2 linked regions of the Alligator mississippiensis genome follow. The protein of the gene in region 2 interacts with the protein of the main gene of each other region in a pairwise test. Links are inferred from orthologs where the notes say so. Each region holds a gene or a part of one and is shown on either strand. Other genes may lie near its edges.

What was found.
Region 1: the proteins of EIF3E (region 2) and C2H4orf19 interact in binary tests that used the Homo sapiens proteins (3 or more experiments, as listed by UniProt). The two-hybrid records come from large-scale screens. The link is inferred for Alligator mississippiensis from reciprocal best matches to the Homo sapiens genes EIF3E and PGCKA1.

What each region holds. Positions count from the first base shown.
Region 1 is NC_081825.1:49,322,106-49,332,980, reverse strand, and holds the start of C2H4orf19 (uncharacterized protein C4orf19 homolog), read right to left. Parts: upstream 5,453-10,875; 5' UTR 5,361-5,452; intron 1-5,360. UniProt on the Homo sapiens protein: Acts as a tumor suppressor. Acts as a tumor suppressor for colorectal cancer cell proliferation by targeting KEAP1/USP17/ELK1/CDK6 axis.
Region 2 is NC_081826.1:32,213,864-32,224,878, forward strand, and holds the start of EIF3E (eukaryotic translation initiation factor 3 subunit E), read left to right. Parts: upstream 1-5,991; 5' UTR 5,992-6,018; coding exon 6,019-6,108; intron 6,109-10,457; coding exon 10,458-10,572; intron 10,573-11,015. UniProt on the Homo sapiens protein: Component of the eukaryotic translation initiation factor 3 (eIF-3) complex, which is required for several steps in the initiation of protein synthesis.

The sequences.
Region 1 (10,875 bases), on a different chromosome or scaffold from region 2:
ACTGGTTTATGTGCACTGAATGTTCTGTTAGTTTTAAACCAGTTTCTGAACACTTATACCGGCTTGTTTGTAAATTCTGTTCCTAGCCTTAGGGTCTCGTTCTGTCACTACAAGATTTGACAGGCAAACTTAGAAGTTAGTAGGAGTTAGTTGATTGTTATGGTTAGGAATTGGACCTATTTATGTGCCATAAGCTAACTTAGACTAGTCTAAGGCCATTTACAGATGTTAAATTAAGGGCTCAATGATATCTGATATGTGATCCCAACAATTGCACTTCTGCCATGCCAGTTAATCGCATCTTAAGTTGCCATACTCAGTCAAAATCCAGCTCAATTTTTAGAGAATGGAAATTATTCCAAAGTGGGGAATGATATTAAAGAACAGAGTTTGGGGAGTTCTATATTTTCAATTTTCCTTCTGAATCACCAGATGAGGTTGCATGTGAATTTACAATGGAGCATGGAACTATAAAAAGTCTTTATCACCAGAAAGCATTTGTGGCTCTACATTGGACATTTATGACTTGAATAAGGAATGGGGAGTTAAATAAGCTGCTGGATAAAAACTGAAGGAGAAAAAAGGTCAGATAAAAAGAGAAACTCTTTGGATTTTGTCTGTCTGCTTTCTATTGTTACTGCAAAAGAAGTATTTAGTTCATACTTCCTCAGGCAATATGATCGGTACAGAACAAAATATAAATTTCATCACACATCTAAATGAGAGCTATTAACTGGAACCATGGAGAGATTGTTACTATCTGTAGTAACCTCATGACATTTTTTCTTCATCCTTCCTTCAATTCTCTCTTTTAGCTATTTAGACATAGACCTTAGAGCAATAAAAACACGTAATGATTCATGTTTCAATCCTGTTCTCTCTGATTCTTTCTCCTGCTTTCCAGTATTTGAGTTCTATGGTATAGTAACAATTAACCACTCTCAGTTTACTGGCACTGCCTGCTGCTATACACAGTACTATTGGGCTGTATTCTCATTAATTCTCCTAAACTGACCAGGTCACTGCTGGTTTGAAGAAAACTTTTTTGCTGCTTGATGGGGTGCTCATAATTCAGAAAGTAGGGCTCCTTTGCTTGTCAGTCAGTATTGAATCAACACTCCTGGATGGGATTACATGGCACTGTGCTGCTGGAGAACCCATTTGTTTAGATGAAAAGTTTAAAGACTGCGGGGGGCACAGCCAATCTCAGGGGGTGTGCATGCACCCCCTACATGTTGCCAATGCCCCCTCTGAGTGAGCTATTTTTAGCCCTCTTTCCCCCCTCCCCCCCCCATCACTCCTAACCAGCAAATTGCCCTGTGAACATGCTACCCGCCCTTCATTCTACCAACCTCCCCACCCCCTGGACCCACAACCCTCCCTGCAACCTGCCTGCCCTTCCTCCTACCCTGAGTTACTAACACCAGGCTTCTACATGGCTCCCAGGAGCAGTGAATGCCTGCGCACACTACTCCTGGAACTGCACATGCTTGTTTGCAGTCTAGGTGTAGATGGCTAAAAGTAAAGTGAAGTAAAGGTGCAGCAAACACTTGCTCACACCCTAAAAGCATGGCCACAGAACGGTAAAGGGATTTTGCTTCATTTCTACAATCAAGATGTAGTATTGCTGTTGATTTGTGCTGAAGGTTACCCTCTGTCAGTCCAACTGTAAGTAAATATCTAACTGTTTGGTCCAGGTAGTCAGAGATGACTGGAATACTAGCCACTTTGCTTCCTTGTTTGTCTCTGGCAGTGGAAGTTGGAGTGTCTTAACTACACTAGCCCAATGGGCCTTCTAGGCCCATAACTGACTGACATTTATAATAATGCTGTTCCCTGATAACTCTATTACTGTAAAAACAAGACAGAAAAAATATTGTTTTAACTATTTGAGGGTCACATTGATTATGTGTCTGTCTGTTAGACCCTTCTTTAGAGTTTGTCCATGTTTCATTAATTTCCAAGAATTTTTCTCTGCCTTTGAACCAGAAGGAAGTATTTGGTCTATGTGCATCTACCAGGGCAGCCCCATGAGTCACCTCTGCAGCTGACTCCATGTTGACATTACTAAGCATGAAGTTAAATGGGAGTATGTCATAATCAAAATGCAATAATCAAAGCAATGCTGATTACCGTAAGTATTGTTAAATTACTGGTATAAGGAACAGCGGAACCTCTAACAAGGAAGCCAGGTGTTTATATATCATTTCTATTGGGTTCTTAGAAATTAATGTGATTGTTGTATTTTTTCTCAATCCAAGTTCAGGCTCTTTCTTTTTAAAAGTAAAGTTCTGTATGTTTTATGACTGAGGCCATGGAAAACCTATATTGAATATCCAGTGCAAATATTTAATACAATACCTCTCAAACTCGCTAAGAACATTTTACGTAATTAAACATGTAGCAGATTTAACTACTGAGCTGCTAAATATTGGTTTTCCATGACCCACCCAATCTGTACAAACATTACTTAAAATGCAAGAGTCATAATATACTGCGGTTGGTATTTAAAGATGCAGTACTCCTTTTCCATTCCATTTACAGTGGGATGGCTGCCAGTCTTAGAGTTGGTACATTCCCCTCCCATGGATCATGGACTATGCACTTTGTATTATATGAAAAGTTTTCTGCAGTGATCTTAAGAACTTTGGTTCAAATTCTATTCTTACCTATCATAGTATATATTTAAAGTATTTCCTCTGAAACTAATGGTCCTACTCTAGTTTTACATCAAAGAAGTTGTCAACAAAACCTGACCTACTGTGACTGATGTACTTATATTATTTGAAGTTCCCATCTTTTGTTCTGTGTTTGTATGGGGCCTAGAACAATGGGCTCTTGGCTTATGACTGGGGCTTCTTGTTACTGTGATTATACTACTGCTAACAGTAGGTAGCACAGCAGTAACACAAAAATAAGCACATTCTCAGATGCTAGATGAGATGCACAGCTGAATGCTTCTTTCTTCCGATGGGGCTGATAGTAATCTAATTCATAAATATTTTAGATATTCATCTAATTTAAAATTTTCTGAAATCTGTGCAGCTGTGCCCATTCATACCATTTAGGATCTGGCTCAAGATAACATCCTGGCTGTTATAAGGTAATGTTCACAGAATGATATTTGAATAAACATATACTGCTACTTTAAGGTAACCAGAATTTCATTTAGATAATTATCATGCCAACTCATACCCAAACCAAACCAAAGGCTCCTGTATTTTGGTACTGACAGCTAAAAAAAATTATTTTATTCTTCACAAACAAATCTCTGCAAAATTGCTGGTTGCACTGGTGTTTTTCGAATATTTATGTGAAAGCAACAAATCCTATAATTTGGCTGATCTTATCTGGAAATATTGAAATGCATGTTATTAAGTAAGACAGCTATTTGATGACAAAAATCGATTTCCACTTTCTTTTCTTTTTTTTTTTTTCAGTTCTACATACTTAATTGATTCTAAGTCCATTGCAGGCAGCAGGAGCCTTGAGGGGAGTCTGAAGTTCGGGGTCTACTCATGAAGTCTTGCTTGGGTATAGGACTACAGGAGCAGACATATGGGAGTAGTGGGGGTCCTCAAAGTCCCTGGTCTGCAAATCAGCCCATCCTTCTTGAAAAGTGAATATACCTTCAGACTGATAAGTCTTCATTGCCCTATTTTCATTCTAAACAGTAATTTTGTGTGCTGATCAACCACATTGGAACAGTGTTAATATGTGAATATAGGATAGTGCACAGCAACTGCCTTGAGTCATAGCTTTAACAAGTATCTCCGAGTAAGCTTCTCAAACTGAATACTCATTACCCTGACAATCTGGGCAGCGAAGCAGCTGCACTGTGCTTCTGAGGGCTTAATACAGGATGCAGAGTGGGAATGCCTGGCTGGCTGAACTCCATTCCTGCCTTTGCCCCAGAGTTGTGTTGTAGATTTATGGTAGTTGCTTCTAGCCAGAATTTAAGAGTGGACCCTATTTTGACAAGTTTTCTGGAAATCCAACAACACATTCTGGGACTGATTTTTCTTCTGCCTTTTTGAATACTAGGCCTAGGGTATCTCAAATTAGAAATCCATAAATTGAAGCAAGTTCAAGCTTATGTCCACTTCTGAAAATGCAGTTGATAAGCTTGAGGGGGCTTAAAGATTCCTCATGTATTAAATGTGGGTAACGGTAGTTTTCTTTGGACAGCGCTTTGACAGCTGGCTGAAGAGCACAATTAAGTGTGACACATTATTATTATCTTCTGCTTCTCTCTCTTAATAGTAGTTAGGACAAGAAAATATATTTATACAATAAATTGAAGAAAGGGCCTTCCCAGCAACCATCCTCTCTTCCTCAGAAGGATAGCATTTAGAGAAAATCAACATTGCTGCTTGTTGCTTTAAGTAGGAGAAATTCCCAATGGGGCAATCTTTTGATAAACTAGAGGGAGAGTTGTCAAACAAGTCTGGGTACTACATTCCTGCAAAGGGAATACAATGGTGAGTTGATAGTGCCTTGTCTAAAACAATTATGTTGTTGGAAGAAAAAAATAAAGTGTGGAAAGAGGTCTTCATATGGGGAAGAGGTCTATTTGTTGCCTGACACAGTACATAGAAATTCTGCAGCAATAATGAGACCATGACCCCCCTGATACTACTAAGGTAAGTGGTACCTTATGCCATTTTATGTGTTGCTGAATATGGCTTGATACAAAAATATATACCTGACTTCCCAGATTTTAATAAGAGTTGTGGTCTTAACTGTTCCCCCACGCCCATCATTTCTATATTTTGTTCCTTTTTTTGAATTTTGAGGTTTCCAACTTCACCTGCGTTGTATTTAACTTGCAAGTTTTTGAGGAATTAACCAGATTTTTAGGAGATGGGAATTGGGAAACTGGAATCATGGGAAACCAGATCCATTAAAATACATATTCACTGAAATGATATATGCAATTCATAGCATAAAAAAGTCAGAAATGCTTAGACTCCTTTTTTCAGGCACAAGGAATGTATCAACTTTTTTTTTTCTTACAACCACCCACTTGCCCCCGACCAAAAACCCAACGTGAATGGTTTAGCAACAAGGATAACTAAAATTAATCTTAGCTTTAGGTGGTCAGACTTTTTTTTTAATTAAATCAATCTGCTCCGCTGTGCTTTACCACTAAGTGGACTGTAAATGTTTTTATTCAGAAAACATAGTGCCTCTGCAACAGGTGCAACATTAAAGAAGGAGTTCAAATGTTTTCCAGCTGAAACTATTAGAAAGATTAATCTAAAAACTAAAAGATCAAAAACCTGGTAAACACTTTATCTTGAAAATATAGTTAACATCAGGAATGTAGACAAACATAAAGGAATAAGAACTTTTCCTACCTGAGACTTTTGGGTTGGTCAGGAAGTGCAGCTCTTCTGATTAAAATCTTCCATGCCTTAGCTTGGCTTCTGCATTTGAATGTTAAATATGTAAGAATGCCTTGTTTATCTGAGAGTTTGCATGACCTCTTAATGAGACACTGTTGTTAGTGTCATTGGGTATTAAGGTATCATGTGACTGTAGATGAAAATAAAATCCTTTAAAGTTTGCATTTAAAACTTCCTAGAATCTGTAACCCTTTACCTGCAAGCTGGAAAAAAACTTGACAAACCTCTTTGTTTTCTGGTCAGGGTAAAAAAACAAAGAAAAGAAAAGAAAATGTACCAAATGATTCCTTTGCTGAAACAGGCACTTAAAGAAAGCAATTCCAAGCCAGCTGATGTAATAGTATTGCAATTCTATATTGTATATTTAAAATTCCCCCCAAGTCAGAAATTGGGCCGAACAAAGTTGCTAAAAATTCTGTTTCTCTGTTCAGGTACTTTGGCCTAGTACTTAAGTGTAGACTGGTGTGCTAGGTGGTGCTACTCAGAGGACTTGCATCTAAAATAAGTACTTACAGGTATGATATCAGGGCTGTCCATAAAAGTTACTGACTTTCCTAGAACTACTGTCTTCCGGGTGAGGTATTTTCAAATGTGGTATGAAAGGAGAGCCCTCACTCACCCCTCTCCAACTGGGAGGGAGTGCCAGACCAGAGATTTTCAGAGATACCTGCTAGCAGCCAGTCAGATCAGTTTTCCCTATTCAGGTCCTATAATACTGCCCCTTGATGAACCTGGAGATTGTAAACTGAGTCTTGGGAAGAGCTGGCTGCATCAAACAATGCCATTCCCTTGTTTCATAGGTGTGTGTCCAAGACCTTGTATTTGTCTAATCCGACAAGATTCATATTAATATAAATAATAAGGAATATTCTAACTAATTATTTCTTTGTCTTTTAAATTTAAGGCTTATGACAATAAGGCTGATAATTCTAGGTATGGTCCTGGAAGACACGCTTCTGTGTTTTAGAATACATCTATAGCTACATGTAGCTGTATGTTGGATTACAGAACTCTGTGAACTCCCTAGTGATCTAGTACGTAGGTAAATTGTAGCCCTGTGAGAAAAGAATGGCAATCATACTAAAACACAAAGAGCTAAATTCTGCTTGTACAAGCAATCTACTGACTTCTGCTCAAGATTTGCTCCATCATGGTGTTTCTTGTGCTCAGTGGGATTATAAAGATTTAAGAACAAGAGTTGTTTCACTTGTGAGCCCAATAGACTGCATTTGTGAGCTCCGTTTGGAAAGGCAGTGGATAAAACAACTGCGCCACCTAGCATCAATTTTCCTTTCCATTGCTACATAATCAAAGCCTAGACCTATAAATAAACTAACAAAAAAAAAAATGCTTTGGATGTCCTTGACTTAAACAGAGGAAGTATGTTGTTCAGGGGCTGAACATAATTGAACTTTCAGACTCCCCAATTCAAAGAGCTTCTGTAGCAGATGTTCTTGACAGTTTTCCTTTTCCCTAGTCTTTAGTACTCCTGAAAATAGATTGCAAGAATGAGGAAGGTTTTAAATAATAATAAAAATTATTAAAAAGCTTACATTAAACTATCTAGGAGGATCTGACCTGGAGGCTCTGATAAAGAAGTGAAGAATCACTGGAGTTTGTCAGATAGCCAGTACCCACACCTGTTCTAACTCCTGTGACTATTTTACTATTGTGTTTTAGATAGACACTGGGTGCATTTACATGAAATGCTTTATGCACATTAGATTAATCTAATGCCCAATAAATCATCAGCTTTTACATGTGTACAGGACTTACTGAACATTAAATTAGGTTAATGCATCATTTGTTAGTCCCCAGTCCCCTCAGCCCTGCTGCTGCATGTGTAGCACACACCTTAGTCCAGGGGTAGGCAAAATGCAACCTGAGGGCCAGATGCGGCCTGCCAGGCCATTCTATCCAGCGCACAGGGCCCCTAAAACATTTAGAAAATTAATATTTATTTGCCCCTGGCTGCCTATCATGAGGCCCTTGATGGCTTGCCAAAACTCAGTAAGTGGCCCTCCGCCCAAAATAATTGCCTGCCCCTGCCCAAGGAAAATTGACTAGTCCCCTAGTCAGCTTCAACTCCCTGCCCATGCCTGCAGAGAGCTGGGAGCTGAGCAGCACCAGGACTGGGGGGAAGATGTGGGGTGGAAGCAGCACTGGGACTGGAGGGGAGACAAGGGGTGAGGTGGGAAATGCAGTGTTGGGGACTGGTGCTACTTTGCTGTGTCTCCCTTCTTTGACCCCATTTTCAGTGTTGCTTCCTCTCCACATATCCCCCCAAGTCCCAGCGCTGCTTCCCCCATGTGTCCCCCCATGGTTCAAGCACTGCTTACCTCCATGCTCGGGCACAGGGCATTGACCCAAGCCAGTGCCACATTGCCGGGCTGCAATCCTGAGCACTGCATGGCTGGGAGCTATTCCCCAATCCTGGACAGCTCCCCCCACTCTCTAGAGTTCAAGCCTGACCCCCCTGCTAGCCTGGTGCTGGCACCTGGGGAAGCCTGGAGCTCCTCCTGGCTGCTGCAGGGGGCAGAGCAGGGCAGAGGGATAGGGGTGGCTCTGGACTGAACTGCTCCCATTGGGAGCAAATTTGCTCCTGACAGATGTGCATGTATAGATGTGTACCTGGGAGAGTGCCTTAATGAGCCTGAATTTTCTTCTGATGGTGGCCATCACATGCTTCCCTGGCCTGGAGCAGAGCATGGTGGCAGCATGTGTTGGCTCTGTCACCACAGCCTTTGCCTGCTATCCATGGCTGCTGCACCCTCAGGCCCCAGGAGCAACATCCACTGCCCTGGGTTTTTGCTCACCACCATGCTCTCACCCTGTTCACCCGCCGCGGGGACTGCCACCTTGTGCAGGTCAGTCTCAGCCCTGGTGACCCTCACCCTGTGTGGCACAGCCACCTGGCCTGGCTCACTGTGCCATTCCAGGTGTCCTGTCCCCATGCTGCTGCTTCCTGGACCCCAGCAGGGATGCCACTGATGTGCTCCTGGATGCCACCACTGGGACTGTCCATGTGCTCATCCAGAACACCTGGGACAATGAGCAGTGGCTGGAGTCCCTTCACATGATCTGGGCCACCTTCCAAGGCCTCCTAGAGCATGTCTGCTTGTACTTGGTGTGGCAGGCCACCACCATATGGCAGCCCCTCCCTACGGACACCCAGCTGGCTGTCACCCTGTCTCTCCCCACAGTGCAATCTCAGCCTCTCCCCACAGTGCAGCAAAGTCTGTGGTCTCCTCCTGGGACCAGTTGCAGCCCCAGGAGGCAGTGTGTGCCACTGGGGATGATGCCAGCATGGCTCCCTTGATGGTTTGCAGGGCATCCATGTAGCAGTCCTGGTGCTGGTGGACCGTGGCAGGAACATGCAGTGCCCAGTGCACATGCATGGCATGGGACAGGCAGGCAGGTGGTGAGGGTGTGCTAGGCACTAGCGGCGGAGTCCAGGCAGGCTGCTGTGGCTGACCTGGAGCCAGCTGGAGTGGGACCTGGTGGCAAGAGGCTGGCTTCAGGTGGCCCAGGGTGATGCTGGGCCTGGAAGGTGCCTGCAGTCCCCAGCACAATGCAACGGCACAGGCCTGACAGCTGGGCAGTGAGGTGGTGCCAGGGAGTGGCACCAGGGTGTGGGCAGCCTGCTATGGCTGGCCTAGGGCCTCTGCAGTGACACTCAGTGGCCATAGGTTGGTTGCAGGTGGCCTAGGGCCCCAGTGTCCCTGCAGGCTTTTAAGGGCTAGGGGCTGAGGCAGGCAAAGAGCCACCCCAACTCTGAGGCTGGAGAAGCTCCCAGCCCCAGGGCCCTGGGAGTGCTGGGCTATAGGTGGCCCCCTAGTGGTGGGACTGGTCAGCAGCAAATTTGCTCCTGGTCAGTGTTTACACATGCATTACTGTGCAGTGACTAAGCATGAGTAAATTTGCTACTTGTATTTATAGGTGTGCGGGCCGACCGGGGGCGAGCTGGGGCCCATCTTTGCGCACGCGGGCTGTGGCCAGCAGCCAGGGCACGCGGGGCCGGAGAAGACCGCGGCGAGCTAGAATTGATTACGGACGCGTAGTGGTTGATTAAAAGATTGTTTACTTACACCAAAAGAAGTAGTGGTGTAGGCTGGATAGCTTTCCAGGCACAGCTCTGCTTGAATCCCCGTTGGAGGATTACGACAAGTCATCTCTTTTCCCCAGAGTTGTCAAGGCTCCATGGATTCAGTTCCCCCGGAGTTGTTAAGGCTCCGTGGGTTCGGTTCCCTCCGGAGTGGCTGAATCTCTGTGGGTTCGTACGGCACTAATCTTCCCCGGAGTTATTAAAGCTCTGTGGGCTTGGTTCGGTTCCCTCTACCACGGAGTTGTTAAGGCTCCGCGGATCTGAAAATTGGGTATATAGGATAGGGATACGTCTAGGACAGCGCTTGGCGACGGGGAGAGGCTAGAGGCTGATCAGACCTCTGTTGCCTGCTTAAGAGAGGTGCGTTGGGTCCGTAAGGGTCCACATCGCTTAGAAATCTTCACACAGCGTGAATTCTCCTCCTCCTGGTGAGTTTTCTGTCTCTCCAGGTTTCCTCTCTCTCCGGCTTGGGCGGAAACCACCCAAGCATTTGTACGGCTAGCAAGCCAATAGCTAGCCACCACGTGTACCTTTATTCAGAATTGGCCAATAATTTGGCGCGAACTCCCATACAAATGGCAGGAACTCCTTTACACCGTGCATCTCTGAGATGCAAAAGAAATGCACCCTGCAAAGAAGCTGCAAATTTGGCGGGAAATTCCCCGTTGCACCGGAGTTCTCTCCCGCAGCAGAGAACTCCGCCGTGCAAGGAAGCTGTAATTTTAGCGGGAACATAATTTAGCGTTGCCTAAGCACACACAAACAAAAACTCACAACTTTGGGTTGTGACAATAGGTAGCAAATTTACTCACAATTAGACCAAATTACTGTGCAGTAAACATCTGCACATGTAAACAGTGATGCTTACTGAGCAATAATTTGGTCTAATCAGAAGTAAAGCATCTGATGGAGATGTACTCACTGTGTATTAAGGTGCTATTTAGCTGCTTAGTTTGAGTAACTGCAGGTGGATCTGACTTTACACAAGAATTGGTTACTGTTTATTTAAACTCAAACCAAAGAGTCAGATTGTGGACCCTCTTGCCCACACTGATAATCACAGATGTGTGTTTTGCACTCTGATCCTTCATGCTCTCTTTTGTGTTCTTGTCTTTGTTTTAAACATCCATATTGTACACAACTGCCTTATTTTTAAAGCCTGTTATTATGGTTGAAAAGTCAAGCACACAAAAATTAGGATATGCCAGAAATAAGGTAACTGTGTAATCCTTTGGTTACCTTGTGCATAGACCTCCTAATATGGCCTTTAAATACATGCTTGCTTACCAAGTTTTTGGCAGAATCCTTGCCCCATTCAGTCTACCTAATGGGAAGCTGTTCAGTGTATAGTTCTCTCATTAT
Region 2 (11,015 bases):
TCTGGCCCATGAGGCCATTCTATCCGGCCTGCGGGGACTCTAAAAAATGTAGAAAATTAATATTTATCTGTCCTTGGTTCCTGTAAAAAATGACAGGAGCCAGGGGCAGTAGGACGCAGGGGAAGCCCCAGGGGGTCCTCAAAACAGCAGAGCCTGCCCAGCCCCACCCCACCAGCCAGGAGCCACAACAGGGGCCTGGGCCCATGTGACTCCTTATGGCTGCACCAGTGCAGGAAACTCAGGTAAGCGGGGGTGGTGGGGGGGAAGAGCAGGGGAGGACCCCAGGCAGGGAAGAAGCTAGTGTTGAGTGCGGGGGAAAAGCAGCCCCTCTCCCACCCTGTGGCCAGTGCTCCCTGCTGCAGCCACTCGCAGCAGACACGGGGCTGTCCTGAGCAGGCACAGGCAGCCCCACACGGGCTGCAAGCAGCTGTAGCATGGGGCGACAGCCACAGGGCAGCTGAGGGGCTGCTTTTCTCTGTGTTCAGCACCAGCTTGTAACCCACCCCACCAGCTTGTAACCCGCCCACTGCCAGCCTGGGCCCCGTACCGGCTCCGGGCTCGCCCACTGGGGCTGCGCCGCGGTGGCAGCAGCTGCTTGGCACAGAAGAAAGTGGTCCCCCTGCTTGCCGTGCTGGGCAGTGTTTGCTGCTGCTGTTGCCTGCCCAGAGCTTGTGCGCTGGGCAGCACAGAGGTGGTGGTGGCAAACACTGCCTGGCATGGCAAACGGGGTGGGGCCACTTTCCTCTGTGCTGAGCAGCTGCTGCCACTGCGGCACAGCCCCAGCAGCTGAGCCCAGAGCCAGCACGGGGCCCAGGCTGGCAGCGGGGGCTCAACACCAGCTCAAGCTGGTGTTGAGCGTGGGGAAAAGCAGCCCCTCCCTCACCCCGTGGATGGCACCCCGTGCTGCAGCTGCTAGCAGCCCGCGTGGGGCTGCCTGTGCCTGCTCAGGACAGCTCTGCGCGGATGGTGAGCAGCTGCAGCAGGGAGCGCCAGCCACGGGATGGGCAAGGGGCCGCTTTTCCTTGCACTCCACACCAGCTCCTTCCCTACTGGTGAGCAGGGAGTTGGGGCTGTGCACTGCCCCCGCTTCTACTGGGAGCGAGTGGCCACTGGGAGTAAGTGGGCGCCGGAGTCAGTGGGAGCGCGGGATCCACACTAGTGTCCTGGGGCCAGCGCTGGCGGGGCCTAGAGCAGGGCGGCAAGAGTACAGGGTCCCTGCTGGCAGGGGCTCTATGGAGCTGAGCCAGCTCCCCCCTCTCCCTGCTGGTGCAGCCCAGCCTAGCTCCACAGACCCCTGCTAGCCTGCACCCCGTTTTGGGCCCCACCAGTGCTGGTCCTCAGACATTGGTCCCAAGACATTAGGACATTGGTCCCAAGACGATGAACAGGAGACACGGCACCTGTCAAGGGGCGAGGCTACCCACGCGACCCTTGACAGTCTGCCAAAACTGGCTAAGCGGCCCTCTGCCTAAAATAATTGCCTGCCCCTGGCTCAGATGAACACTAACTCAGGCGTGGCAATGACTCTCAGCAAAGTGTTAAATGTTAAGATGCTCAAGGTGGCTAGAGTTAGCTTTATGAATCTGAGCAAGAGCTATACATCTAACTATAATGACAACAGGACTAATAAAACAATAACTTTTGCTTATCCTTGCCTAGTTTGTTGTGTTTTGAAACTTAATGTGTAATCTAGCAAATAAGTGCTATTCCAATAATATTATATATTTTTTGCTTTAATCTTAAACTGAATAATATAGTGTTGAGCCCCTAACATATTAGTAAATCTTCTAGTTTATTTTTAACCGGAGAAAATTGTGTGTTGTGTTATATGTAATGATATACCACATTGCCTGCACCCGCCTTTTCAAAATCCTATAGATCTGCCAATGGACTTTTCTGTATGCCAGAAGATAGGGAGTCCCAGTCTGCCAACACTGTAAGCAAACAAGTGTAAGAATTAACCACTTTGTACTATGGAAAAGAGTTCCACCCTTAGCTAGGTCGTGTTTGATCAAGATCAATGTTTTCAATAATGTTTTGCAGGTGACACACTAATAATTCAGCTGAAATCTTAATGTCAAAAAGATTTATGTAGCTCTGGATTTACAGCCTTCAAAATCATTCAAATCAGTTTTTCCAGTAGTTTCACTCTTATCCTTTTGACTCATTGGCATATTTTCACACAGTGAGCACGTAGGATATTTCAACACTGACATACCTTGTAGTATTCTATCATGAATCTCTCTGGGTCATCTACATGCAGCTGTAGGAGTTTCTACTGGATGCAGCCCAGCCATTTCACTTTAAATCTTGAAATTAAAAATCATGTAATTCATAAGTTTATCAGAAGTGTTGAATAGTGAGTGCTGAATGTTTAGGAAAAAGGTTGCCTTCACCCTTCCTTTTTCAGGTTAGCTGATTTTCAACAATGATTGTTAGTGCCTCTCAATTTGATGCCTGGTTTGATGTCACATATGTTAAGCACAGTGACCTGGTATTTTCATGCTATGAATCCTGACATTTTAGTTGTTCATCAGGTATGCCTTTCTAATATTTTTTAGAGGGTGGAAACCACCCCTTTGCAACAGTTTATTGTCTTTTCTTTTCTTTTGTTGCCTGGTACCCATGCAGCTGCAGAAATTAACTGGAAGTAATAAGGATCTGCATTTTATAAGGCAATCATCTAGTTTCAGAATGGATAAACTATAAGGTCAAATGCCAAGTAATTTATCATAATGAAAAAAAATTCAGGAAGATAGATACTCCTCCAATACATAAAACATTTTTATTATAAACATAACTTCCTTCCTTTCTTCTTGCTTCAGTACCTCCCTTTCTAAACTCCATGTCTGCTTTTCATTATTGTTATATTAATGTTTGGGAAGCTATTTATTGTGATATCCGAGTCCCTTTATAATGGTTACATTAAGTCATTAATGGACCCAGTAGATCTACTGTGATCTCCTGCTGCCACAGTCTTTTAATTTAGTCAGCCAGATATGAACATTTGTAATTTAGAGACACTCCTTTACTTAGAAGACTACTGAAGTTGGACATTGGGAAATTGTCCCTTAGTTATGCTAGTTAGTGAGAGAGAGAGACAAAGGGTCTGTAGAGGTTGCTCATTGCTCCACAATTAAATGTTGTTGTTAGTTCTTTGAACCCAAAGATCACTACATATATTACATAATCTTTTAACTAGTTGGGATAGCTTTGGCATAACTCTTTATAAATGAGGTTCAGGCAGAAGCACTTTTCCAGAAAAAGCAAGCTCCACAGTTATAGGCCTAACAAAAAGAATGTTCTGACTTTTCAGCATCCAGGAGCATGGTATCTTTAGCGTACCGAGCTGCAATCAAGCATAAGTTACAGTCATTTGGAGATAGTGGGGTAGGCATAAAAGTGACCTAGATGTAGTCTAGGTAGGACTTTTTAAGAAGTAAATGGTACCCTGAATTTCAGAAGCAGAGTGTGAGTATGCTGTGCTTATGTTGTTTCACTGCAACCAGGAGGACAGTCTAGATTAGCTACCAAGTGGCTTTCACAGATTTTCCTCAATAGAGTCCAATGCAACAGGCCAGATAAATGGTCATAAGGATGTTGTGGATAATCAAGGAGGAATAATTATGTTACAGGCAGTACAGAAATTCCTTGATAAGCTGAAGGTGGAAAATATTGTTCTGATGGAGGATGTAACCTTCAAGGCTAGAAGCTGTAAGAAGTGCAATAGTAAGTTTCTCAAGTTGTTGCCCATTGTAGAAATGACTGGGCAGACACCACGAATTGATGGACTATTTATAGAAGTCAATAGATCCTCAAGGGTTTTTTTGTCAGTTGTATCTTTTATTGGATTGACTTCATGATTGGGAAAGACTTAGATAAGCTCTTGAATGTGAAACATTCTTTGAAAGTTTGTCTAAGTCTGTCCCAACCATGAAGCTAGTCCAATAAAAGATATCACCCACAAAAACCCTTGCTTCTTGCATAATTCATAATTCCTGGACCATCATGGCTACAATATCACTCCTATAAACCCCCAAAGCTCTTTGTCCCTACCAGTTAGAATTGCTTCTCATGTTAGTTTTGATAGACAAGGATTTTTCTGCGATGTCTTTTTTTGGACCAGCTTTTTTTGGACCAGCTGTATAGTTGGGAGAGCTGTTGGACAAACTTTTGGGCACTTCAGGTTAGTTTTAATGTGATTTTTATTCAGTTTCCAATTTCCACCAGGCGCTGGGCAGAACAGGCTATATAGTAGCATCTGGATCAGAACTGGAAGAGACGGCAAGCTTGGTGTTACCTATGTAGTGATATCACCACAGCTCATGTTGCCTCATAACAAGTAGGAATTAATAATGTAGGATGCCAAAGTCATAATCACAAAGGAATGAGTGAAACTTCTCTAAGGTATGTCTATCCTACTGGATCATGCAAGCATATTACAAAGTTGTTGAAAGTTGCTGGTAGCCGTGTTGCACTTCGCTGGGTCTGCTTACATTCCCTGGTTCACACCTTCTTGAAATCAATCTGAAATCTATATTATTCCCCATCACCCCATAGACTTGGAGGATTAGGGGTAGAATGATTTTAATTTCCCAGTGTCTCAATTTAGCAATGGGGGACAGCTCTCTGTCTGCTTCCCTTTGTATGTCATCAGCAAAGGACCCCTGGGCTCTGCTTCATCATTCTCTTACCCTCTTTCTGACTGGAGAGGCTGGGACTATAAAGAACTGGGTACACAAGAGCCATCAGCAGTGCCCAATAAGAAGTCCTATGGTTATATACATCTAAAAAGCTATGCTGCACATTTGAATGCTACCGACTAGCACCTTATCAATTAACTATTAATACCCGCACAGATATCTGGATAAATCCCTATTTCTAATGTATAAAAGGGAAAAATTACATTAAAATCTAAAAATCTGCTACAAAAATGAAACTTCATTCACATCACATGCACCGTAACAATGTATTTTTCCTGTCACTGGCACTGAAAGTCTCCTTGATGGAACCCATGATAGGCATGCTACCATGGGTCCCTCTGTAAGTCAACTCAAGATCACACAGGATGTCAGTGGCAAGACAGGGAATTGAACCAGTCTTGCAGGTTTCAGGCCAGGACCTTTACCAATTGGCCATCCTTCTTCCCTAACATGACATTTAAGGTTTTTTACATTACTTGGAGATGATGATACCTCTGTCAGGAAGTCAAGCATGATGGGAAAGGCTATGACAGCAGTTCAACTCAAGTACAGAAGGTTTACGAATGTCATTATTTATTTTGTAACTTGCTATAGCTTGGATATTATTTTTTGTTAGATGCTTAAAAGGGAACTCCATTCTCCCCACTCCCAGCCCCCTGGCAGCAAGATTGGCTGCGGGGAGACCACCCCTGGTCAGAGGGACTGGTTGCAGGTGGGGCACGTGCCCCCCTCCCCCCAAAGTGGCACCAGTCGCCCATGGTTGGCAACTCTCTTCTGGGAGCAAGGATGTTCCCGCCTAGCGTGGTCAGCTCTTAAATATGAAATGATCCTATTTGCTGAAAAACTATCGTAGGCTGAAAAAAATAGGCAAGCAAGTAGGCACGGAAGTCTTTTTTCACTTTATTTCGTTCACTACAAGTAGCCAGTGAGTGCGGGAGGCCTGGGTCAGCCAACTCGAAGCATTTCACGCGGGATGACCGTACAGATCCCGCCCGAGCCGCCGAGAAGAAGTGCCTGCCACCTCTCCCCCACCCCGCCACGTGCGCGTCCCACTCCAACCTTTGAGCAAAGCAGAGCAGAGGGAGGCTAAGGGCAGCACAAGCCACGCCCCTTTGCCCTCAGGCGCCCGCCTGCGCATGCTCGCCCCTGGCCCCGCCTCCTAGCTGGCGCCGGGCACCCGTGTACGCACGCGCGCCCCTGGCCCCGCCCCCTAGCTGGCGCCAGGCACCCGTGTGCGCACGCGCGCTCCTGGCCGCTTCCTGACGGCGCGTCTCTGCGTCACGCGCCGGCGCTTCCGCCCCTTTCCCCTCGCAAGATGGCGGAGTACGACTTGACCACCCGCATCGCGCACTTCTTGGACCGGCACCTGGTCTTCCCGCTGCTCGAGTTCCTGTCCGTGAAGGAGGTGAGATGGCGGCGCGGGAGCCCGGGGCCAGCCCGTCACCCCGCATACGCGGCGCGGCCCGCGGGGCAGCCGGGAAAGGCAGCGGAGGCCGCGGGGCCTCGTGGGTGTTGGGCCGGGGGGGGAGGGGTGATTCCCGCCCCTTCTTCCCCAGGCGCCTGCGGCCGTTTGCAGTAAACCCGGAGCGCGGCTGCCGCCCAACCCTGGGAAGGCCACGTCCTCCGCGGGCCCTGCCATTTGTTTCCAGCTGCTTGTGGGAGCCTGGCCCTGCTTCCCTTCCGCCGCGCGGCCCCCGGGGGGCCTGTCGCTCCTGGCAGGCTCTTCTACAGATGCGGTGATCCGGGATACAGACTTCTCCATCGCGGGAGTGTGGGGTGCATTAGACACACAGCCACTGCATGGCTGTAAGCCCGTGGCCCTCAGGCCACAGGTGCTGGGGCACACTAGGGTGCTGATGCCTCTTTTTGGGGGGGTTCCCTGAGGTGTGAGGTGATAAGCAGATGAATAAACCCAGGCTCAGGCTTGTCCTTGCCTGGATGATCCTCTTGCCAGGACCCTTGGCAAGGAAGTGATGGGGGTAATCGGTACCCTTGTTTTTGCAGTTGGGTGCCAGTCAGTTCACAAGTGTTATGTTGAGTTCAAAAAGCTTGAGAGCCGGTTGCTGTCAGTAAAGCTGCCGTACACCCGGTGACTGGGCAGTCAGCTCCGTTTAACTTCTTGTTGTGTTTAAATTGTCGATTTAAAGATTGCAAAGTTTACTGGTCTCCATACAACTTCCCTAGATGGTCTCATTGACTCGTCAGCTCTTTTGAGTGTATTATATTATTATATATTCTTATTGGGCAGGTCTTAACCTACTCGTGCTAGTCCTTGAATGGTGGTTTCTTTACTTTTATGGAAGTCCCCATCTTCTGAATGACTATAGCCAAAAATGCCTTTACTTCCAAATTAAAATTAGTTCACTATTTTCCTTGTTGGACTCCTCAAAATGTTCAGTGTTTTGGCCTGTTGGTACTTACCGAGGGCAAATTATCAGACCAGATATAATTTTAAAGGCTATCTAGCCCAATATTCTTTGTTAAACAGACTTGTCATCATTTAACTGTACTGAGTACTGCATATAACATTACATCTTCAACAAAGAAGGTAATAATGAGCCAAATTATACACTCCTACTAGCGGTAAAGTAGTTGAGGGCTGTTTTGGGAAGTGCAGGGTAATGCACCTGGGGATAAATAACCTCAACTATACGTACACAATACTGGTTTCTGTACTAGTTGTTGTGAGTCGGAAAGGAGACTCTGGAGTCCTTGTAGATGGTTCTTCAAAAATGCTAGCTTAGTGTGTAGCAGCAACAAAAAACCCAATAAAAGGTTGGACATTATTAAGGAAGGTATTAAAAAAAAAAATGGAGAACACATTCATCACAGCACACTATTCATACAAATCCATAGTGCACCCAGTTTTTGAATACTATACAGTTTTGGTCTTTGTATCTCAAAAAGGATGTAGTAGAATTAGCAAAGGTACAAAGAAGATCAACCAAAATGATCAGAGGTATGCAGCAGTTGCTTTACCAGGAGAGATTAAGAAGGCTAGGACTCTTCAGTTTGGTGAGGAGAGGGTATGATAGAGGTTAATAAAATCATGAAAGGGCCGGATCAAGTTAACAGGGAACTATTGTTCACCAAGTCCCAGAATACTACAACTAGGGGGCACCCACTGAAACTAGTAGAAGACAGATTTAAAATTACCAAGAGAAAGTATTTACACAACAAGTAGTTAACTTGCTGAAATTCATTGCTACAGGTGTTAGAGATGGATGGCATGATAAGAGAAGTGAGGGGGGATTTGATAGCAGCCTTTAACTGCCTGAAGGGAGGTTTAAAAGAGGATGAAGCTAGGCTATTCTCAGTGGTGACATGTGACAGAACAAGGAGCAATGGTCTCAAGTCACAGCAAGGGAGGTTTAGGCTGGATATTAAGAAAAACTTTCTCACAAGGAGGGTGGTGAATCACTGGAACAGGTTCCCTAGAGAGGTGGTGGAGTCTCCATCCTTGAAGAATTTAAAGACTGGGCTTGATGAAGCCCTGGCTGGAATAATCTAGTTGGGGGTGGTCCTGCTTTGAGCAGGGGGTTGGACTAGATGACCTCCTGAGGTCCCTTCCAACCCTAATTTTCCATGATTCTATGAAATGCATGGATGATAGATCTAGTAACAGCTTTGAGCAGAAGAATTGGAGGTGTTTCCTTTGGCATCTCTAAACCAATAATGGTGTGTCAGGGAATGTAATAGATAGAGAACAAATTATTGTACATCTGACCAATTCAATGTTCTTCCTCTAGCTTCCACTTTTGTCACTGTTGGAGACAGGCCTTTTTGTTATGCCCAGAGGAATGTTGACCTAGGCCCACCAAGGGAACTATAAGCCTCCCTTAATCAGGGAACAGTTGATTACTTGGGACAACTAAAGAAAATACAGGGACATCAGTGTGGGTCAGGTTTATGAGTAATCCACTGGGGGACACCAAGTAAGCATGCTGGCCAGCACCTACTGACCCTCAAGTCCAGGGAGCCAGCGGACTCTACCCAGTGAAACTGCCTGGAGACATGGATGGTAAGGGATAAGAAGACAATCCCAAAGTCACTTGGGTTCCCCCCAGCCAGAGACTTCTTCCTGATCTGTTACATGGCTAGCTTAGCTAGAGCCAGGAGCAGGTTGATCAGGAGGCCCTGGGACTTGGTGGGGCCATTGATGGGAAGTGCATAAAAGAAAAGTTTAGAGGTGCACTGATACTTTGGTCCCATATTGGATTGGCACTGGCCGTCGGCTTTTTTTGGCTGATGTGGTCAATAATTCCACCAATAAATGCCTCGTGCACGTGCAGCCGCAGTGCAGCATGCCCTGAGTACAGCCCTTGCACTTCCCCCTGCCAGAAAGAGCTCAGTGCTGCCTCTGGCCCCAACCCACAGCAGCAGCCCGTCCTTACCCTGCATGCAGAATGCCCCTCATGCCCTCCAACAGTGTGTGCAGCAGCAGGAGTTGCCCCCCAGCCATGTCCCCCAGACAAGCTGTTCATAGCTCCGTCCCCTGCTCTGCCCCAGCTGTGCAGCACCAGCCCCACTCCCTCCCACACCCCGGGGGGCCTTGATCTGCTCCCCCTACACACCCCTCTTGCCCCCCACTCCTCACCCCGTCCCCCACAGCAGACTTACCAGCCAGACGCCACTCTCCAAGCTGCCCAGCTGCATATCGGATCAGTATCGGCCGATACAGCTCATTAAAAATCAGCCATCGGTATCAGCCCAAAAATTCTCTATTAGTGTACCCCTAGAAAAGGTGCATAGATTCATAGAGTCAGAAGGGACCTCAGTGGGCCATCTAGTCTGATCCCCTGCCCCTGGCAGGCAAGAAAAGAGTCACCAACCCTGGGGTCATGTGATCCCAGCTAGGTGCCTGTCCAGTCTCTTCTTGAAGACCCCCAAGGATGGGGTGAGCACCACCTCGGTTGGGAGCCCATTCCAGATTCTGGCAACCCTGCCTGTTGAAGAACTTTTTCCTAATGTCCAGCCTAAACCTTCTCTCTAATAGGTTATGGCCATTGTTCCTTGTTGCTCCAGGGGATGCCTTGGTGAACAGATCGTTGCCTACTTCATGTTGCTCTCCCTTTATGAATTTGTACACCACCACAAGGTCCCCTCTCAGCCTTCTCTTGGAGAGGCTGAAGAGGTTAAGGTCCCTTAGCCTTTCCTTGTAGGGCCTTCCCTGCAGGCCTCTAATCAGGCGAGTGGCTCTTCTTTGGACCCTCTCCAGGTTGTCCTCATACTGCTTGAACTGCGGTGTCCAGAACTGGACATAGTACTCCAGCTGCCATCTGACCAGTGCCGCATAGAGGGGGAGAATCACTTCCTTGAACCTGTGCAGGGAGAAGTGCAGCCAGAACCTCTGCAGGAGGTTCCAGAGGAGGTGGAAAAGGGCTGCTACCTAGTGCACTCAAAGTTGGCCTGCACCACAGGCTCTCTCTCTTAGCAGAAAGGGCAGGTGTTGGGGGATGTCCATGAAACATGCCAGATACATGCCCATGGTGATAGCTCTGTAGAAGCCACCAGCTGAGGTCCCTGGTGACGCTTGGGATCAAGGGTGGAATATAGGCTGGTCCACCAGAGACTAGATGTTGAGCTAGAAACTATTGGTTTGACTTGCTATGGCACTTCTCATGTTCATGACTTCAAATTTTGTTTGTCTGTAACTTTATTAATAAATAAATAGAGGTCTCTTTAAAAAAATGACTCTTATTTAAAGAGTATTCCATGTATCTTCATGATATCTTTTAACTCTTCTTGCTTCAGATATACAATGAAAAAGAATTACTGCAAGGAAAATTGGACCTTCTTAGTGATACCAACATGGTGGATTTTGCTATGGATGTATACAAAAACCTGTACTCAGATGAGATTCCTCATGGTAAGCTTTGTGTGCATTAGTATGTAGATTTCACAACCGTGGCTAAAACTGTTGCTTGAATTAATAAAAACTTATGTTTTTTCCCTATTGTAATGTATTTGCTTCTATTTTTAAAATTAAGACATTACTTCTGTAATACTAAAGCATTTGGTTTGGCCATAATTTCATTTTGAAGAAGGCTGAGTAAATATGCACCTTATAGACTAACAGAACAAACTGTATGTAGAGCATAAGCTTTCATGAACTCAAGATCATTAGATGTTGTGACAGGACAAGCATAGGATCACCTTGTTTCCTGCCTCCCTAGATTCATAGATGTTAGGGTCGGAAGGGACCTCAATAGATCATCGAGTCCGACCCCCTGCATAGGCGGGAAAGTGTGCTGGGTTCAGATGCCTATCTGACCTCCTCTTGAAGACCCCCAGGGTAGGGGAGAGCACCAC